Linked DNA regions of Saccharomyces cerevisiae S288C. Changing the gene in region 3 together with the main gene of any one other region gives a genetic interaction. Each region holds a gene or a part of one and is shown on either strand. Other genes may lie near its edges.

The links.
Region 1: mutations in MGM101 (region 3) and UBP16 together harm fitness more than expected from each alone (negative genetic interaction), as found in Saccharomyces cerevisiae (one large-scale study listed by BioGRID).
Region 2: mutations in MGM101 (region 3) and OPY1 together harm fitness more than expected from each alone (negative genetic interaction), as found in Saccharomyces cerevisiae (one large-scale study listed by BioGRID).

Annotation. Positions count from the first base shown.
Region 1 is NC_001148.4:415,920-421,856, forward strand, and holds UBP16 (putative ubiquitin-specific protease UBP16), read left to right. Parts: upstream 1-2,592; coding exon 2,593-4,092; downstream 4,093-5,937. Other genes in the region: putative AAA family ATPase YTA6, read left to right, coding at 1-2,108; YPL071C (uncharacterized protein), read right to left, coding at 4,129-4,599; guanine nucleotide exchange factor MUK1, read left to right, coding at 5,029-5,937.
Region 2 is NC_001134.8:493,853-497,339, reverse strand, and holds OPY1 (Opy1p), read left to right. Parts: upstream 1-2,000; coding exon 2,001-2,987; downstream 2,988-3,487. Other genes in the region: CCZ1 (Ccz1p), read right to left, coding at 1-177; SHE3 (She3p), read left to right, coding at 471-1,748; ATG14 (Atg14p), read left to right, coding at 3,225-3,487. UniProt on the Saccharomyces cerevisiae protein: Binds phosphatidylinositol 4,5-bisphosphate (PtdIns(4,5)P2/PIP2) at the cell membrane. Negatively regulates the activity of phosphatidylinositol 4-phosphate 5-kinase MSS4.
Region 3 is NC_001142.9:699,041-710,186, forward strand, and holds MGM101 (Mgm101p), read left to right. Parts: upstream 1-1,841; coding exon 1,842-2,651; downstream 2,652-11,146. Other genes in the region: PMT4 (dolichyl-phosphate-mannose-protein mannosyltransferase), read right to left, coding at 1-1,574; 40S ribosomal protein eS4 RPS4A, read right to left, coding at 2,987-3,758, 4,015-4,028; YJR146W (uncharacterized protein), read left to right, coding at 4,845-5,198; HMS2 (Hms2p), read left to right, coding at 5,156-6,232; branched-chain-amino-acid transaminase BAT2, read left to right, coding at 6,704-7,834; YJR149W (putative nitronate monooxygenase), read left to right, coding at 8,120-9,334; DAN1 (Dan1p), read right to left, coding at 9,771-10,667. UniProt on the Saccharomyces cerevisiae protein: Performs an essential function in the repair of oxidatively damaged mtDNA that is required for the maintenance of the mitochondrial genome. Binds to DNA.

The DNA.
Region 1 (5,937 bases), on a different chromosome or scaffold from region 3:
AAAACTTAGACACTTTACTGGTATACGTCAATGAAGGTCTACGAAAAATTGAAAAGACTTATACCTTAAAGAAAGGGTTAGGAAATCTTGTAGTTGATCATCCTGAATTGAGGAGCATCATTGAGGATTTCCAAATTCTTGGCCAGGATATAAGGATCGCACGTCGTAAAGCAGAAACGCTTATGGCCGAAGGAAACGGTAGTCCCTCTTTGTCATCCTCCTCTTCCGTTTTGGGCCTTGGGACAGGAAATGGTTTGCGTTTTCCAAAACTTTGGAGAATGGGTTCCAAAAGAGATAAATTGAAAGAAGCTGACGAAAAGGAGGCTAAAATCAACAAACAGGCTGATAATATCAGACGTGCTAGGAAATTAGAAGAAGAGAAAAAGTTAGGAGCAAAACTTCAGTATGAGAGGGACTTAGAACTTCAAAGGGAAAAATTGATCGAGTTAAAGGTTAAAGAAAAGGTCGAATTTGAAGTGGCCCAAAAGTTGGAGGAGGAGAGAGTTAAGAGAGAGGAAGAAGAACGCAAACATAGAGAACAAGCGGAGAAAAAACGTATATCAACCCTGAAACATGAGAGGAAAACAAATTACAAATCAAGGGCTAGCCTCGACAACTTCTCTTCCAGTAGCAAATCTTCTGGAAAGATTGACAACTCCCTAATTAAAAGAAGATCACTTGACGTTGTACGGACTTCAGGCGAAAGAGTACGAACGCCAGTAAGAAAATCAATGGAGGCAGCAGAAATAGGTATGGCTGCGCAGTTAGCCTGGTCTCAGTATCAAAACGGGGCAAATCATTCAAAAGTGAGTAACAACGGATCGCATTCAAATGAACTTCAGATACGTTATAAGCCAACACCACCTTTGAAAAAAAGGTATGACTACAAAAAGCCAACAGTTAATCGACCGATTATAAAATCACCTACTCTTAACAGGCAAAACAGCAAGTCTTCACGGAATATACCCACAAATAGCAAGCTGAAGGCTAGTAAATCCAATACTAACAAAGTTTCTCGTAGGAATGAGCAAAATTTGGAGCCTAGTTCACCAGTACTCGTTTCAGCGACAGCGGTACCTGCTGAATCCAAACCCATGCGTTCTAAAAGTGGTACACCCGATAAGGAAAGCTCTGCTAGTTCATCCCTCGATTCCAGAAAGGAGGATATATTAAAATCAGTGCAGGGAGTAGATCGAAACGCTTGTGAACAGATACTTAATGAAATTCTTGTTACGGATGAAAAAGTTTATTGGGAGGATATCGCAGGCTTACGGAATGCGAAGAATTCTTTGAAAGAAGCAGTGGTTTACCCATTTCTGCGGCCTGACTTATTCAAAGGGCTAAGAGAACCTGTTAGAGGTATGCTTTTGTTCGGCCCACCAGGTACAGGTAAGACAATGATTGCTAAGGCGGTTGCGACAGAGTCCAATTCCACATTTTTTAGTGTAAGTGCATCTTCTTTGCTATCGAAATACCTCGGTGAATCTGAGAAGCTGGTTAGAGCATTGTTTTACATGGCCAAAAAATTGTCACCCTCAATTATTTTCATAGATGAGATTGACTCTATGTTAACAGCTCGCTCTGATAATGAAAATGAGTCCTCGAGGAGAATTAAAACAGAACTTCTTATTCAGTGGTCCTCCCTATCTAGTGCTACTGCACAATCGGAAGACCGAAATAATACGCTTGACAGCAGAGTACTTGTCTTAGGAGCAACGAATTTGCCATGGGCGATTGATGATGCAGCAAGAAGACGATTTTCACGGAAACTATACATTCCTTTACCAGATTATGAAACTAGACTATATCATTTGAAGAGATTAATGGCCAAGCAGAAAAATAGCCTGCAAGATTTAGACTATGAATTAATAACAGAAATGACCGAGGGGTTTTCTGGTTCTGATCTTACGTCATTAGCCAAAGAAGCGGCAATGGAACCTATTAGAGATTTAGGAGATAAGTTGATGTTTGCGGATTTTGATAAAATCAGAGGAATTGAAATAAAAGATTTTCAGAATGCTCTGTTGACAATAAAAAAGAGCGTGTCGTCAGAATCTCTACAAAAATATGAGGAGTGGTCTAGTAAATTCGGTAGTAATGGTTCCTGAACGAGAGGGAGCGTCTTAATGGCAAAGAAAGGTATGAGAAGGAATTTTCCCCTTTCAACTTCTTGCTTCTGATCTAATTTTATTACCTATGTACTTTCTATGTATTATCAAAGAAAAACTAACTTCGGTTCCCTTATGATTTGATATTTTTCTTTCTTATTTACAATTAGTTTTCTCAGAACGATATTCAATACAGTTCTCCGGATTTTTGCTTACTATATTGGCCCCAAAAAAATGAAATAAAAAAAGAAAACAAAATAATATACTTGGGTGAAATAAAAAAAATAAATCAATAGCACCCAGTTAACCTAGATTCAAAGTTTCTTCTTCAATCTCAATTTATATACACGTTTGAGTTAATGGGAAAGCAAAGTCCAGCTATAAAACACTTGACCGTTAGCGCCATACCCTCCAACAACTAATTGGACCTTCTCCTTCTGCCCAAACAGTATATGCAAGGTACAGCAGTTACTACAAGCACAATATGTCTTGGATAAAAAATGTAACAGAATCTCCGACTTCACTGATTAAAAAAGTTTCATGTGGTTTGATAATTGCTGCTTCTCTATATGCCATTGCACCCAGCCTAAGTGCGCTAGTCTTTGGGGATTCTAAGCAGAGTATTGGGAAGTACACGACAGTGGGCTTAATTAATCGTGGGAATGATTGCTTCATAACATCATCTTTGCAAGGCCTGGCTGGAATACCTCGATTTGTAGAATATTTGAAACGGATAAGAACGGTCCTTCTAGAATTAGAAACTAAGCTGTCAAATAATGCAAAAGGCGACAATCCTACAGTTGATAACACTACAAGGCATAGTCGACTTGAAAACTCGTCTAATTCACTTGCCCCCTTACACGAAAGTCTTACCAGTTTAATTTTGGATTTGATATCTGTAAAAGATCGTAAGACGTCAATTTCTCCGAAAATAGTGATAAACACATTAGAGTCCATCTTTAAATCAAAGATCTCATCCAAACAAAATGATGCACATGAATTTACATTAATATTACTACAAACATTACAGGAAGAACGATCAAAATTGATCGATTACAGTAAACAGATATGTAATTTGAATATACCAAAGTTTCCATTTGAGGGCGAGACTTCCAAGTTTCTAGTATGCCTTAAATGCAAGGGTCTATCAGAACCATCATACAAACAGACTTTCATCCGCGAACTGTCCGTACCACAACAAACATCAGAGAATCTATCCAATATTCTAGCACACGATGAAACAGAAATCATAGACGACTATTCATGCCTGATCTGCCAAATAAGAGCAATCTTAAACCATGAAGAATATAGAAATTTCAAGGACTGTACCCCGGATGAAATTTTAATGTTGGACAGATTGAAAAATTATGCCACTAAAGCCCCAATTAACGAAAATTTACCATTCGAAGTAGAACAGTACGTCAAGCGTTACTCAAAGGGCAATTTGCAGGTATCTAATATAAAGGGAAAGGTCATCAAAAAAGATGTAGTAGTACAACTGCCAGACATATTAATTGTTCACTTATCGAGATCCACATTCAATGGTATTACATATTCTAGAAATCCCTGCAATGTCAAATTTGGAGAAAGAATAACACTTTCTGAATATACATTGGCTGAGAGTGGGACAATAACAGAAAACAGGCAAGTCAAATATAATTTGAAAAGTGTTGTGAAACACACCGGTTCTCATTCGAGTGGACACTATATGTGTTACAGACGCAAGACTGAAATTCGTTTCGGGAAGGAGGATGAATCTTCCTTCAGAAGAGCACCAGTTGTCAACAATGAAGTTAACAAGAATCGCGAGCAAAACGTTGCACATAATGATTACAAAAAAAGCAGATATAAAAAAGTCAAAAACGCCCTGCGGTATCCTTATTGGCAAATATCTGATACCGCCATAAAGGAATCTACCGCTTCAACTGTCTTGAATGAACAGAAATATGCTTATATGCTATACTACGAACGTGTAAATAAATAACCGCCCTGTACATAGGTATATTATAATAATAGTAAGTTACGCATCCATATCCACATCAGTATCCACTGCCATCATTTCAACATCGGTATCAGCCTCTCCATCATAAGTGTATTTCGAAGTCATTTGATTATGGAACCACTTCCACCAGCTTAGATAAGCAATTTCCTTATAATCTACCCATTTTATTATTTGTAGCCTTTTTTCTCTCAAACGTTCCCATATTTTGTCATAAAACAAGTCATTGTCGCCGCGTTTACTTGTGGAACACTTGATGATCTCTTTCAGGACCTTATCATCAATAGCGTCTGTGAATACTATATTGTTATGAATAAGATTGTTATCATCTGCATGTCCGTTCTTGGGCCCTTTATCATTTAAGGATAAATTCTCTAAATCTATAATTAGTCTTTTTCTTTTATAATTATCAATTCCTATTGGGTCTGGAGAATGATTTCTTTTCCTAATGTGGTTGGGATTGCCATTACTTCTTGCAAACCGGGAACTCATGGAATGAAAAAGTCATTTAAACGTGCCACTAGTTTTACTATCTGCTAATCGTTCTAGACGTGTAATATAAATCATATCCGAGCGCCGTTGTTGAATAATTTAATGCCTTCGTATTACATACATTTTGAAATTTGCTTTCGTAAAAGAGCGGTTCCCGGATAAAAAAGTGTGCAAATAACCGAGCCTTATTTGATTTCCAGTAAAGACCCAACCAAACGCATCATTGAAGCAAAAATAGATTAAAACTTACTGTTGTTCGTCTATTGAATTTTGTTCGGATTGGTGTGGTGTTTAATATCTTGGGCAGAAAGAGAATTGGCTTTATAGACACTCATAAAATCATCATTCCCCTTAGAGCAAAAGGTATTTTTAGAAGCCAAGAAGAAGAGCAGATAAAAAAGAAGTACGCCCTCTAACAATAAAAGTCAAATGGCTAGACAATTATTCACTCCTCCGATAACCAATCCAAGGTTTGACCCTAATCAATCCATCAGGGAATCATACAAGAACACAACTGGCGGCATGCAATTTCAACAAAATCTACATGAGGATCAAAATGACAATGAGAGAAGTAGCTGTGATGGTGATGAAAACTCTACAACAGGAGAAAGGCTAGAAAACAATAAGTCTCCTATATTGACAAAACAAGAAATTGACGAAGCGTTGAACACTGTCACCAATTTACCTCCAGAATTATCAAAATTAATTGACATTTTTATTGATGACCTAAAGCAGCCAAAGTACGTACGGCCACTATCAGTACTGCAATTGTCTAGTCTTTTCCAAAGCTTTTACATAAAATTTGATAAAGCATCATTCCAGCACGTCAGTTCAGCGAATAATAATGGCTATTATTTTTCTGGCGGGGGCTCTAGTTCATTCTTGGCTGCCAAAGAAACGTTAAGTAGTGGTCTTAGCGGAATTTTTGGCAGAAGTAGGAGTAGTAGTGGAAATTCACTTATGAGGCCAAGAAGATCTTCATCGCTTTTCAGTAATGAGTCAATATCAAATTCAACTAATGCCACACAAATGTTGTCACCTGAAGAGATAAAAAAGCAATTGAAAATCAACGAATTAAACAACATGAAAATCGAAAAATATATGGAACTTTGTGAAAGAGATGTTTTTAAGAAAATTCTTATAGTAGGCACATCCGTATCTTCACCGAATAAAATGAAAACCTTCAAACCACACCAATTACAAACTTTCAAGGTTGGAAATCTATTTAGAAACAGTGTTGAATTCACAGAATACAATAAGTTGTTGAATGAAAAAATCCTCTGTTTGTCCAAACTCTCAACAATGAATAAAATCAATTTGATAAAGTTTCTGAGTCTT
Region 2 (3,487 bases), on a different chromosome or scaffold from region 3:
GCATGAACTCGTAAGTGACCAAATGCCCTGTATTACTCCTATGATGGACAGTTTTTCGTTTAAAGAGGGTATTGAATCAGTAGTGCCAAAATAATGGAACAGCAGCAACTGCTTGAAAGTGTCATTTTCGTTGGTAGATCTTGATGGATCAAAAACCGTAATATAGTGTAGTCTCATATCCGTCTTTCATATATCAATTTAATAGTTGTACGATTTAGAATGTATTTTTGGTTCCACGTCAAATGAAACTATTTCCCTATTGCTACTACATATTATTGTCATCGCAATAAAATAGGCTAAATAGTTACCCGCTCGTTTCGTCTTTTGTTCGGGCGAGAGCTTCATTACTAACTACTATTGCATTTTGTTTATTGATTTGTTGCCATGAGTAGCAGCAGTCTGAAGGGGTTACCAAACGTTAGCTCGTCTATCAAGCACGCCAAGGTTCAACGACACTACTTTTGTGTAAGATGTCGGACCAGGATAATACCCAGACTTCTTCAAGCAAGTTGGCACCTCACCATAATATTTTTATGGCAAACTTGGAAAGTTCCCCCACAAAAGATAGAAATACCTCCAGCCAAAATGCCTCATCTTCGAGAGTCATTGAATCACTGCATGACCAGATTGATATGCTGACAAAAACAAATCTACAATTGACTACGCAATCTCAAAATTTATTGAGTAAATTGGAATTAGCACAATCCAAAGAATCAAAACTACTGGAAAATTTAAATCTGCTGAAGAACGAGAACGAAAATCTCAACTCGATATTTGAAAGAAAGAACAAGAAGCTAAAAGAGCTAGAGAAAGATTATAGCGAATTGAGTAACCGTTACAATGAACAAAAGGAGAAAATGGATCAATTGAGTAAATTGGCGAAAAATTCTAGTGCCATTGAACAATCTTGCTCTGAAAAATTGCAAAATATGGAAGTTAACTATAATTCATTATTGGAGTCACAAAATCTTTACAGAGACCACTATTCTGATGAAATTTCCAAATTAAATGAAAAAATCGGTTTGTTGGAGTTAGAGTTAAGTAATCAAAATTTAAATTATGGTTCAGATACTAGTTCAAATTCAGATATAGAATTGAATTTAAATAAATTCAATGACTCTGTGAAAGATTTGAAATCTCTGGAAACAGAAAAGGATTCAAAATTAAGCAAGATAATCACTCACTCTTTAGATGAGTTAAATCTACAAAGCTGGCTAAATCTGTACCAGACGAACGAAAATCTGATATCAACTTTTGCTGAAAAGATGGATTTGAAAGACGTCTTGAAAAGAAACGATGAGAAGATTAGTAATAAAGGCGCGGTAGTACAAACCTTGAAGAAGAATGTACAAACCCAGGTGGAAAGCAACAACGCTGACGCTTTGAGTAGCAATAATGCACAGGATATGCTTCCTATTAAGATGGTCAAATTAAGAAAGACGCCGAACACAAACGATTCATCCTCCAATGGTAATAGCAGTAACAATAAAAGAAGAAGTTTCTATACTGCGTCGCCTTTGCTGTCATCGGGTTCTATTCCAAAATCTGCATCCCCGGTTTTGCCTGGTGTTAAAAGAACTGCCTCAGTAAGAAAACCAAGCTCGAGCAGTAGTAAAACAAATGTAACGCATAATAACGATCCAAGTACATCTCCCACAATCTCAGTGCCTCCCGGTGTTACAAGAACTGTTTCCTCCACTCATAAGAAAAAGGGAAATAGTATGGTTGTTCACGGGGCCCAATCCTAGAATATGCCGACACAAGGGAGTATATATATAGGATTCATTTAGATAATAGAACAAAAGTAAATAGATGCCTCTAAGGTTTTATAGACACGAATCCATATTTTTCACTTTCGGTCACTCACAACGGTTTTTTCTCTACTATAATGTGGCTGAAATTAAACGAACAGGCCAAAATGTGGTACGCAATAGTAGCCAGTAGGTGAATTAACCATAAATAATTACGCTAATTTTGCCTTGGTAAATTTCATAAGACCAATGATAGCAGGTGCGACTGCTCCGTCAAGTCAGCATGAAATTTTGATCGCATCGAATCTCATCAAGAAGCCATCAACGTCTCAAAATAAAACGCCGACAGCTCAATCCAGTTCAGGTAACAATGGAGCTGCTGATGGTGCACCGCAGGGTTACCATCATCACCATCATCACCATCGTCATTTATGGTGGCCTCGGACAACAGACCATCAATATTGGTGTGTCTTGAGGAAAAACCAATTTGCCTATTACAAAACTCGGGATGAAAGAGAGGCTATAAGTGTCATACCGAGATTTGACATACTTAATTTTAAGATAAGCGAGCTCGATGGTATATTAACTGTTTATACTCCATCCAAGGATTTAATATTCAAATTTCCACGAGGGCAAAATGAGAAGGTTGGTATGGAACTGATGCATAATTGGAAAATTGCCCTTGAAAAATTCCTCTCTAGTCCTAGTGGCAACGAAAGTGTCACTACAGGTAGTGATTATGATGAAGAAGAGGATGATGATGATTTAATTGTAGTTGACGAAAAGGCGGGTCCTTCTAGCAGCAAGCATTCTTGCAGTTTGACGATGGATGAGCAACTGTCTCGTGAAGATAAAGAATTTTATAGGATGTTCGATCCAAGAAATGCAGAGCACCAGGTTTGTTCTGGGATTCTTTACACAAAAGTGAAAAAGAAGAAACTGTTCAATAGGGCTAAATGGCAAAAGTTCAATGTGGAATTGACTAATACTTCGTTCAATTTATACTCTTTCAAGACTGGGAAGTTAAAGAAAAGCATTAAATTGGATAAAATTATCGATTGTATTGAACTTGATAATAATTCGAAGATGAAAAATGACGACACTAATTTTGCGCTAATTACATTTGATGAAAGGTTATCTTTTAAAGCCGCTAACGATCAAGATATGGTGGATTGGATAATAAATTTCAAGAGTGGAATTTTGATAAGAAAAAAATTAAAGGCCGAAAATATATAAGCAATGCCAATGATGAATATGTATTGACTTTTTTTTTCTTTGTACTATTAAATAATACGTGTAATTGTTTTCCTTACGTCTAGTTAAAAAACTATTTATTTATTTGTATTTTAATGATAATAAGCACTTTTTTCCTCGCTGAAAATTAAGGGAAAGGACCAAATACAAAAGTGATTAGAAGGATAACGAGTAGAGAAAAAGGGAAGTAAAAGTTAAAAACTAGAATCCTAGTATGACATGCATTGCCCAATTTGCCACCATAGAGCGCATGTAGTGTACTGTGCACATTGTATCAATACGAGCCCAAGTCTGCTACTGAAGCTAAAACTAGATTTAATTTTATTAAAGGATGAGAATAAAGAACTTAACGGGAAAGTCGAACAAATATTAAACGAGGCCATGAACTATGACCAGTTAGATATCAAGAGGATGGAGAAAAAGAAAGATCCCCTGATGAATAGTCTCATGAAGTTAGATGTTTTACGAATGAAAAAGAATAA
Region 3 (11,146 bases):
TCCAGGTTAACAATTTCATCAACAACCCAGTTATTTGAAGGATCAATAACTTTTTTGTTACCATTAATTTCTTGTTGTTGGAACCCCCAATCCGGTAACAACTCGTCGTTGTGAGTCCACAAAGCTACGGAGGTATCAACGTGGAAAAGACGGAAAGAAACCGTTTTACTCTTTAAAACGTGACCTTCATCTGATTTTTTCAGTGGTTGGAATGCAAAAAGTGTTTCAGGATATAATTCCCCATCACCTTCTTCTAAAGTTACTGTAGTGATTTCTTCATTGGTAGGGTAAAATGGGGAGGCGACATCATGGGCTAACAAGTAGGTATCGGTGGCTACATGTCTCAATCTTATATGCTGGTTCAATAGAACAGCTTGTCCTTTACCGACATCACTGCCATGGGGTGGTAACACTTCCCATTGATTGTTGAAGTCAGGATGCGTGTAACCAGTAACTTGTTGACCAGCGGATGAGATACGACCATCTTCATACCGTTGTGGGTAACGTGCCAAGTGAGAATGTAAGAATGCGTCAGTATCTTGATGTTTGATAGTGATAATATCAAAATAATTGACGGTTTTAGAGTCAACACTTAAGGGAGAGTCCTTAAGTGTTTCTTGAAATTCAGCAGACATAAATGCGTCGCCAGGACCTGAAGTATTCAAAACGGTGAAATGAACCCAGAACCAAAACAAGTAAATCACAAATGGAATCAAAACTAAACCATTCAGCCTTTTACTAAAATGTCTCATGAACTGCCTCAAGGACAAACCCGCCTTGATGTCCAGTAATTGCCATAAGTTGACCACAGCAGCAAAACCAATAGCGGAATATGTCATAACACCAACATATTTTGTGGAAATCACGAAGGATAAAGACAAACCAGTAGCGTGTAACCAAATATACCAACTCCATGTAAAAGGTTGACGCAATTGGCACTTGTAGAAACGAACGTAACAATACATAGTAGCAGCAATAGAAATAATCAAGATGGCATCCAGTAAAATCAGCCTAGTTTCTGTAACATGCGCAGTATCGATTGCAACCAAGAGAGATGCAAACGCACATGTAATAGCCCTGAAATTCAGTTCCTTCAAAGTGTTGAACATAATTGGTACAGTCAATGTGCCCAATATCGCGTTGAAAGAACGGTACGCGATATATGGAGCTGGATGAGTTTCATAAGAATACCCAATCTCATCAAACTTAAAGGAACCATCATAGCCACATAACCAACCAATGAAGGCAATCATCATCTTAGCAAAAGGGGGATGAACGTCAAAGAAATAAGACCTTTCTAAGTAATACGATGCAAATTTCCCGAAATGTACCTCATCAAAAACAACTTCTTTTGGATACCAGATCTTATAAAATCTAGCAGCAAACGCTAATAAGGTAACAATTGTTACCCAAAAGCTATAACGTGATTCCGGTTCCGGTAGTGGCTGCAAGAGCCAATGTTCAGCAACTTGTTCACATTTAGGCGCGGCCTTCGTGTACTTCAACGAAGGATCGTCTACGTCCTTAGTGGAAGGTGGTAACTTCCCATGGTTACGTTTTTTGGGCACAGACATCTGTACTTCTGTGGACTGTCAGAAAATATCTTGGTAAAATATGTATCGACAAACTTCTTAGTACAGTTAATATAGAAGTAAGGATTCGAGTGAGTAGTTTTGATAAAGCGCGTTTCATTATGCATATTTTTCATTTTTTATTTTTTTTGTCAAGAAATACACGAATAACATCACGAAATTTATCGACAGAATAATGGAAGAAACTATTTAAAAAGACGGTAGAGACTAAAAAAGGAAAGAAAGGACAAGTAGGAAGATCAGCGTACGATGAAAAGCATTTTCAAGGTTAGAGGATGTGTATCGCATGCTGCTCAATTTTGCCAAAAAAGAACCGTGGTGAGTACCGGCACTAGTAACACCGCAACAGCCGGTGCAGTGAGGAAAAGTTTCAACAGTACCGAAACCAAGCCTGTATTTGCAACAAAATCGGAAGCTGGCAATGGAAGCCACATGAAGGAATATTCAAGCGGCATTAACTCTAAACTCGGCGGGACCCCTTTGGAAACCCGCAGCACCGCCGATGATTCTTTGAACAATAGTTATAAGCAAGTCAAGGGAGACATTGACTGGTATACTTCATGGTATGGCCTAGGTATGAAGCCCTTTGAAGCAAAAGTGCAAAAGGATCTAATCGAGCCTCTGGACCCTAAGGATATAGAAATCAAGCCAGATGGTTTGATATACTTGCCTGAAATTAAATACCGTAGAATACTGAACAAAGCTTTTGGCGCAGGCGGTTGGGGGCTAGTGCCAAGATCACAAACAATAGTGACATCCAAGCTGGTCACTAGGGAGTACGGTCTTATTTGCCATGGTCAATTGATCAGTGTGGCAAGAGGCGAACAAGACTATTTCAACGAAGCCGGCATACCAACTGCTACAGAAGGTTGCAAAAGTAATGCATTAATGAGGTGTTGCAAAGATCTCGGCGTCGGTTCTGAATTATGGGACCCTGTTTTCATAAAGAAATTCAAAGTGGATCATTGTACTGAGAAGTTTGTGGAACATGTTACCACCAAGAGAAAGAAGAAAATTTGGTTAAGAAAGGACAGACAAGTTGAATATCCTTATAAATAGTCAATATGCGAACCATATAAGCTAATTTTAGTAAGTATATATATTCCAATACAATCACACACACACACACACACACACACACACACACATACGCATATATTGTGGTAGTGCGTAGTGTCAGTACGTCTTATCATACGCCTTCTATTTCAGGGTTAGCGTATTTTTACTATCAATATTACAATACGGATATATATACACACACCTAATATATATATTATACGTTATATTACTGCCAGTCGAAAAAGGAAGATACGATGTATTATTTTAAAATTCAATTTCTAATAAACATTAATGGAGATATACAAAAGAAGAAAATAATTAAGTTGTTATGAAATTTATAAACCTTGTTGAGCTCTTCTTCTGTCACGTTCTTCAGCAATAGACAACTTGATACCCTTACCCTTTGGCAAAGAAATGTAAGGCTTACCTTGTTCACCGATGACGAAGACATTGTTCAATCTAGTGACGAAAGTGTTGTCCAAGGAGTCCTTGATGTGAACTAAATCGAAACCACCATCGTGTCTTTCCTTGTGAACGATAGTACCGATACGACCCAAGTTACGACCACCAGTAACGTAAACCAACTTACCGGCATCGAACTTGATGAAATCAGTAATCTTACCAGAGGCCAAGTCGATCTTAACAGTGTCATTGACCTTGATGTTTGGGTCTGGGTATCTGATAGTTCTACCATCGTGGGTAACAACGTATGGAACACCCTTCTTACCTAATTGAACCTTCTTGACCTTACCCAACTTGTAAGAAGCTTCTTCATCGGTGATACGGTGGACAGCGAATCTACCCTTGACATCGTAGACCAATCTGAAGTTTTCATTGGTGGCATCTAGAGTGATGACATCCATGAAACCAGCTGGGTAGGTAGTGTCGGTTCTAACCTTACCGTCCACTTTAACGTGACGTTGCATCAAGATAGCCTTGACTTCACGGCCGTTCAAAGCATACTTTAATCTGTTTCTTAGAAAGACAATCAATGGCAAGGATTCACGCAATTTGTGTGGACCAGCAGATGGTCTTGGGGCGTAACAACCGGACAACTTGTCCAATAACCAGTGGTGTGGAGCTGCTAATCTTTTTAGATGCTTCTTTCTGTACGGAAAAAAATGAGAAAAAAGGGCAAAAATGAATGTATAATGAAGATACAGACATTTTATTTTTTTCATTGTGCTCGTTAGTAAATCATTACTCGTAAAATATTTGTACAATCCCAGGATGATCTAAAATTAAATGGACATAAACTGGTTCATTGTTGTTCCTATTCGTTTGGTTAAGACTCCACTTGTTTCTTGTCTATCATTCTTCTCATCCTTGCGTAATTATAATCAAAGTCTATAGTCAAACATACGGTCCTCTAGCCATCTTTGCGTATTGATTCTTTGGTTTGTTTTGGGCAGAAAAATCGCTATATAAGAAAGTATTTCAACACTAGATTAAATTATAGTATAATTTTTAATATACTAGTATTGCCGACAATCTCTGAAATTTCAATACTACCACACAGAACAGGACTTGCCAGGGCCAGTCCGAGCCAGCCTAACTCCAAGACCACGTACTAAGTGAATTGCTACTCCCCCTTACCACGACTACAAAGAGCTACACGGCCTCCCGGCCTAGGCCGCTGCTACTTTCAACTGATGTCACCGAAAAAAATAACGGAAAACGACAGTTCAAGAAAAAAAGAACGCAGGAAGAAAAAGGAAGCAAAATTACAGAATGTACGGCTGTTTAAAAATAAATAGTGGATGCATGGGTGCTTCCACGCGTCTCTGGGAAAAAAAACCAGGATATTTTAATGTTTGTTTATTTGTTTATTTCCTGCTGAACTGAATATTGAAAACATCGAAAAAATGCAGTACCCAGCTCTCCATTAGGACTTTTTACGTAATGACGAAAATGGACAAGCTGCGCAGGAAAGGACTACGAAAAGTATGCTGCCATAATGACAAGATAAGGCGCAACACACGTAATCATGACTAATGGTTGCACAGACGGTAGGCCAGGAGAAGGATTAGATCTCGTGCCGAACGACAGCAAGCTAGCTAGACTATGTTATCTGAGTGTAAACGAAAGCGCAGCAGTCTCTGCAAGAGCACGTGCGACGTGTCTGGTGTGCAAAAACCCTCTAGAGAAACATTGCTAAGGTTTACCGATGCAGGAAATCTTTAGTTCTAAAAGATGAAAGTCGGAAAAGCCAAAAAGAAACCGGAAATCTTCTCTGCGCATTGTTCTGTGGCCACGGCCTTCCTGGACCCGTCCTTCTTTTACCCGAACTTTGTCGCCCAAAAGGCATCTCATTATAATGACAAAACTGGATCTGCAAATATTTGGACATATATCTCCAGAACGGGCTCACTTCTCCTCTTCACCCAGGTGGTATATAGGAAGAGTAAGTGGACGCATCAGTCCGCGACATTTGCGGACTGTATATATTGCCAGTCAGGGCAGTCGCCAAGTGTGTCTCTTTCGTGTAGCGACGCACGTCAGACATGGATGCAACATCGAGGATGGAGCAGCCTGATGTCTTTGTAAGCAAACTCTACCACCTGCTGCAGGGGAACGCTTACTCGAACATAATACAATGGTCGACTGATGGCAGCAAGCTCGTCATTTGGAATCCGGACCAGTTCACCAAAGTCATCCTAGAGCGATTTTTTGGTATTCACACCTTTGCAGCATTCGTTAAGCAATTGAGCAAATATAACTTCCAGAAGGCGGGCCGCCCGGACTGCGTGGAGTTTTCCAACATTCATTTTCAAAAAGATAACATTAATAGCCTCTCACTGGTTAAAGCTCATCAGTCTGCCGCCACTCCCAATGTCGCCGCCGTCAATAATATGAATAAGCAGTGTACTTTTCACTGGGACCCTTTCAAAGTGAACTCCATTCTAAGCAAGGCCATCGGCAAGCCTTCCTTCGAGAAATTAGTGAAAAATGTTGACAGGCTTCAGGGCAATCTTGATGAGCTTAAGTCGACAAACGCAGATAGTCTGCGTATTATAAGGGAAATTAACGCCAGCTTACAGACAATCTCCTACCACCAGTTTCACGCCTACCAAACCGCTAACTTCCTTCAAGAAAATTTTGAAGCCATCAAAAAGGTTGTATGCCCGGACTCTTGTCTACAACACCAGCAACGCCAACCAAAGCGCCCCAAACGCTACTCGTTGCTGTTACTAATACCAAACGCATCCGAATTGTCAGAAACACCTTTGATGCGCTTCGCCGGCGTGTTCGAATTTATGAACTGCTCTTTGGATACGGCCACTCAGTGGCACCCGCAGTTGCATCCCGAGGCATACGACCTTCTTTTCGTCACCGTGTCGCCCAACATGCAACAAGAACATCTCATCTACTTCAAGAGACTGAGAAACCTACTCCCAAGCTTTCCTGTAATAGCCATTATTAACAGACCCGTCTCCCCTCAAGATACCAGCATTGCTCCCTCCAACTACTCTCGCTATTATTTCCACCATTTTTTGCAGTTGGGGTTCAGTGACATCCTAGTTAGCCCCTTCACCCCAACACAACTTATAACGCTCCTTTCCAAACATCTTCGAACGTGAAAACCTGCCTCTGAGGGTCATTCACGACCTAGCATACCACTATATACGTGTACGATTTTTTTTTTCTGTGACCGCACTACACCAAAGTTTAATGTTCCATTGGCCCCGGAACCATTCTTGCAAACGGCGTTCTTTTTCCGCTTTCGGGTGACACTTAATTTAGCTTCTTTTCCCTCTCTGACACCTCTTGTTATCTAATCTGTAGATCCGACTCTTTTTCTTTTTGGTGTCGTTCTTCTATGTCCGTTTTTCTGTCAACAAAAACGGAAATAATAGGTAGAAATTAAGAGCCGTACGTGAGTGAGAGGAGATCCGAAATGAGCTGACAGTATAACTAATATAAGCTTACAAGATATTCGACTATTTCCTGGGAAAAAATTCATTCCTTTGAGAAATCCTTAATAAAAACAGACTAACTACTAAAATTTTAGAAATTTAAGGGAAAGCATCTCCACGAGTTTTAAGAACGATATGACCTTGGCACCCCTAGACGCCTCCAAAGTTAAGATAACTACCACACAACATGCATCTAAGCCAAAACCGAACAGTGAGTTAGTGTTTGGCAAGAGCTTCACGGACCACATGTTAACTGCGGAATGGACAGCTGAAAAAGGGTGGGGTACCCCAGAGATTAAACCTTATCAAAATCTGTCTTTAGACCCTTCCGCGGTGGTTTTCCATTATGCTTTTGAGCTATTCGAAGGGATGAAGGCTTACAGAACGGTGGACAACAAAATTACAATGTTTCGTCCAGATATGAATATGAAGCGCATGAATAAGTCTGCTCAGAGAATCTGTTTGCCAACGTTCGACCCAGAAGAGTTGATTACCCTAATTGGGAAACTGATCCAGCAAGATAAGTGCTTAGTTCCTGAAGGAAAAGGTTACTCTTTATATATCAGGCCTACATTAATCGGCACTACGGCCGGTTTAGGGGTTTCCACGCCTGATAGAGCCTTGCTATATGTCATTTGCTGCCCTGTGGGTCCTTATTACAAAACTGGATTTAAGGCGGTCAGACTGGAAGCCACTGATTATGCCACAAGAGCTTGGCCAGGAGGCTGTGGTGACAAGAAACTAGGTGCAAACTACGCCCCCTGCGTCCTGCCACAATTGCAAGCTGCTTCAAGGGGTTACCAACAAAATTTATGGCTATTTGGTCCAAATAACAACATTACTGAAGTCGGCACCATGAATGCTTTTTTCGTGTTTAAAGATAGTAAAACGGGCAAGAAGGAACTAGTTACTGCTCCACTAGACGGTACCATTTTGGAAGGTGTTACTAGGGATTCCATTTTAAATCTTGCTAAAGAAAGACTCGAACCAAGTGAATGGACCATTAGTGAACGCTACTTCACTATAGGCGAAGTTACTGAGAGATCCAAGAACGGTGAACTACTTGAAGCCTTTGGTTCTGGTACTGCTGCGATTGTTTCTCCCATTAAGGAAATCGGCTGGAAAGGCGAACAAATTAATATTCCGTTGTTGCCCGGCGAACAAACCGGTCCATTGGCCAAAGAAGTTGCACAATGGATTAATGGAATCCAATATGGCGAGACTGAGCATGGCAATTGGTCAAGGGTTGTTACTGATTTGAACTGAAGTATCGCTATTGCTACGTAAAGTAATTAAAAGTTAAAAAGAATAAAACTAGAGCGTTTTTTCTACTGAGTTAAGGGGTCATGTCAGAATATAACATACCCTTTGACATTGTATATATGAATTCCTGGATTTTGCAGTGATCTGATAAAAAATGTATGTCGAAACCTGCAATTATCCTTTCGTTTTTTTTCTTGTCATCTAGTGCTGGCCTATCGGTATCAAGGACATCTTTTGCGCGGATAGAAAAGGGCCCATACATACCTTAGAAGCAACTCAAGACAATTCATGTACTTTTTAAACCAACTAATATTTCAAGACGTTTCCGTAATGTCGGTGGATAAAAGAGAAGATATGAGCAGATCTTTCCAAAAATGTTTAAACTTGAGATACCCTATCATCCAGGCCCCTATGGCGGGGGTCACGACTATTGAAATGGCCGCTAAGGCTTGTATTGCGGGCGCCATAGCTTCACTACCCCTATCCCACTTAGACTTCAGAAAGGTCAATGATATTGAAAAGCTTAAACTGATGGTTTCACAATTCAGAGATCAAGTAGCCGATGAATCTTTAGAGGGCAATCTCAACCTAAACTTTTTTTGCCATGATATCGTTGATAAACCGACCGATCTTCAAACAGCTAACTGGGCGAAGCTATACAGAAAGTCTATGAATGTGCCGATTGATATGAATGAGATTAAATTCGATAATGGTAATGTATCTTTTAAGGCATTTGAAAAAGAAAATGCTCTTCAAGATTTTTTCCAGTACCTATCAGATGGCTTTAGGCCTAAAATCATTAGTTTCCATTTTGGCCATCCGTCGAAATCTACAATAGAATATTTACAAAAAATTGGAATTCTAATTTTTGTGACTGCCACCTCTGTAAGAGAAGTTCGATTGTTAGCACGTCTCGGCATTAATGGCATAGTGTGTCAAGGCTATGAAGCGGGAGGACATAGAGGAAATTTCTTAGTAAATGACCCCAAAGATGATGAAAACTTATCAACTGTACAATTGGTGAAAAGAACAGTTGATGAACTTGCTGAAATGAAAAATAAAGGTCTTATACATGCTACTCCCTTTGTCATTGCAGCAGGTGGTATAATGGATTCCAAAGATATATCATACATGTTATCACAGCAAGCAGACGCTGTTCAAGTGGGGACTGCTTTTCTTGGTTGCAGTGAATCCAATGCATCAAAAAACTTTTCAAGCCCCTTCACTCGAGAAACAACAACTAAAATGGTTAATATAATATCAGGAAAGCCTGCAAGGACCATCTCTACTCCTTTTATCGAAAAAGTCATTGCTAATTTTCAAGGTGAGGAGCTTCCTCCATATGGCTACATGTATAGTGCTTTCAAGCAAGTAAGAAAAAAGTATCCAGAATTGGCTAACTTTATTTTAGCTGGACAAGGATTTCAGAATGTCCAATCAGGAATCACAACAGACAAGAAAATTGAAACTATGGGCGCAAGATTGAAAATTGACGGAAAATAATATAAATACATATAAAAGACCTGATACTTATTGACACAAATTTTCTGGATGACCTTTTTCTATATGATATATATACGTCGCTATTGGATCGTAGGTTACTTGGCCATTATTTGAGCGTAACCGTTCACAGGATGTGGGCTTTAAGGAATACAAAATCCAAATATGGAAAAAATTTGATATCAATTTAGGGCTTTAATATCTAAAGGTATTTATTTTTTTCACAGTTTTTTTTCTGTTAAGCTGTCTGCAATAAGGAATGCTCCTGACATGAAATTCGAAAAGGACCGGAAATAGTTGGAGCACAAGACTGCAAACTAAAAAACAAATTTCTTTGGAATTTCCTTACGCTTATAGTATATATCTTATAAATATTAAAATTAAGAGAATTCAATTATTTTACATCATTTATACAACTGTACAGGGCCGCACATGATCACTATAACAATAGAGCGGCGGCACCAGCAATAGCAGCGGCACCGAAAACACCGTTATTGAACTTGTTAGCACCGTTAGTGGTAACGTCAATAACACGAGATGCTGACGATGTGACAGAAGTAGCTGTAGATTGAGCTTTGGAGGAGACTGGCTTAGTCACAGTTGAACAGACGTTATTTGAACAACTAGTTATGGTAGTTTCAACAGTGGAAGCTTGAGTCTTTGTGACGGTGCTGTCAGTACCATTTTGGACCACTGGAGTGACTGAGATAGAAGATGTAGAAGAAACTGGAGCTGTGGTATTGGCAAAACTAGCAGAGCTTGCAACAGAGCTTGCAACAGAGCTTGCAACAGAACTTTCAGCAGAACTTGCAATGGTGCTTGCAGCAGAGCTAGATTCAGATGAAACAGTAGCTTGGGTGGAAGCAGCGTTTGAGCTGGTCTCTGCTGAACTTTCAGAGGAGCTAGAAGACTCAGTGGCGGCACTAGAAGCTTCTGAAGTGGAGGTGGAAGAAGCCTCTGTGGTAGAAGCTGGTACTGCAGTAGCAATACCTTCATTCGCAAGTGCTTCGGAAATAGCACCCATCAATCTAGTAGAGTACCATGGCACACCGGTGATCATTCTGGTCACTTCATCACCTGAAATACCAGTCAACATGGTGGTGAAATCGCCACCGGCAAAAACAGCCTTGGCAATTTCAGGTGGGTATGTTTCAGTCTTATGCAAAGCCTGGAAAGCGTAATATTCAGATAAATGGGCGCCAATATCAGAAACGTAAACAGCCAATTCAATCAAATTGACCCTTTCATCATAAGGGGATAGAGTGGTGGTCACGGATGCGGCGGTTGCACTTGCCACTAATGCTGCGGCGACAGCTAATATACTAATTCTAGACATTACTTGGGGTATATATTTAGTATGCTACACTTTTATCTGAAAAAGAAGAAATAGTACCGTGTCGACATAAAAATAGTATCATTTAGTCGTGCTATTTTATACGCAGTATTTTCAATCATTTCTATTCAATGAGTACCCAGGGACCCTTTTGCATTTCTAGCATTCTCTGTTCCTGAACGATGTTTTGTTAGAGGCCTCGTATAGATCTTGGCATTTTCAAAGGCACGCGTTGTATTGTTTTATTGCCTATCAAAGGAACGCGCAGGAAACATGAAACTTTTCAGAGGAGCGTCTACGGAGGATACATTCATCAATTTTTCCTCATAAATTAAACGATGTGTACAAAAAGGACGAATTGACCCCGTCGTTCGGCGAAACCTTATGTATTTTCCTGGCCATATGTGCTAAACGACAGATAAAATAGGAAATTCTCCCCATTTTCGACTAATAAGATAAGCGGGAGATAGCATCATATGAAC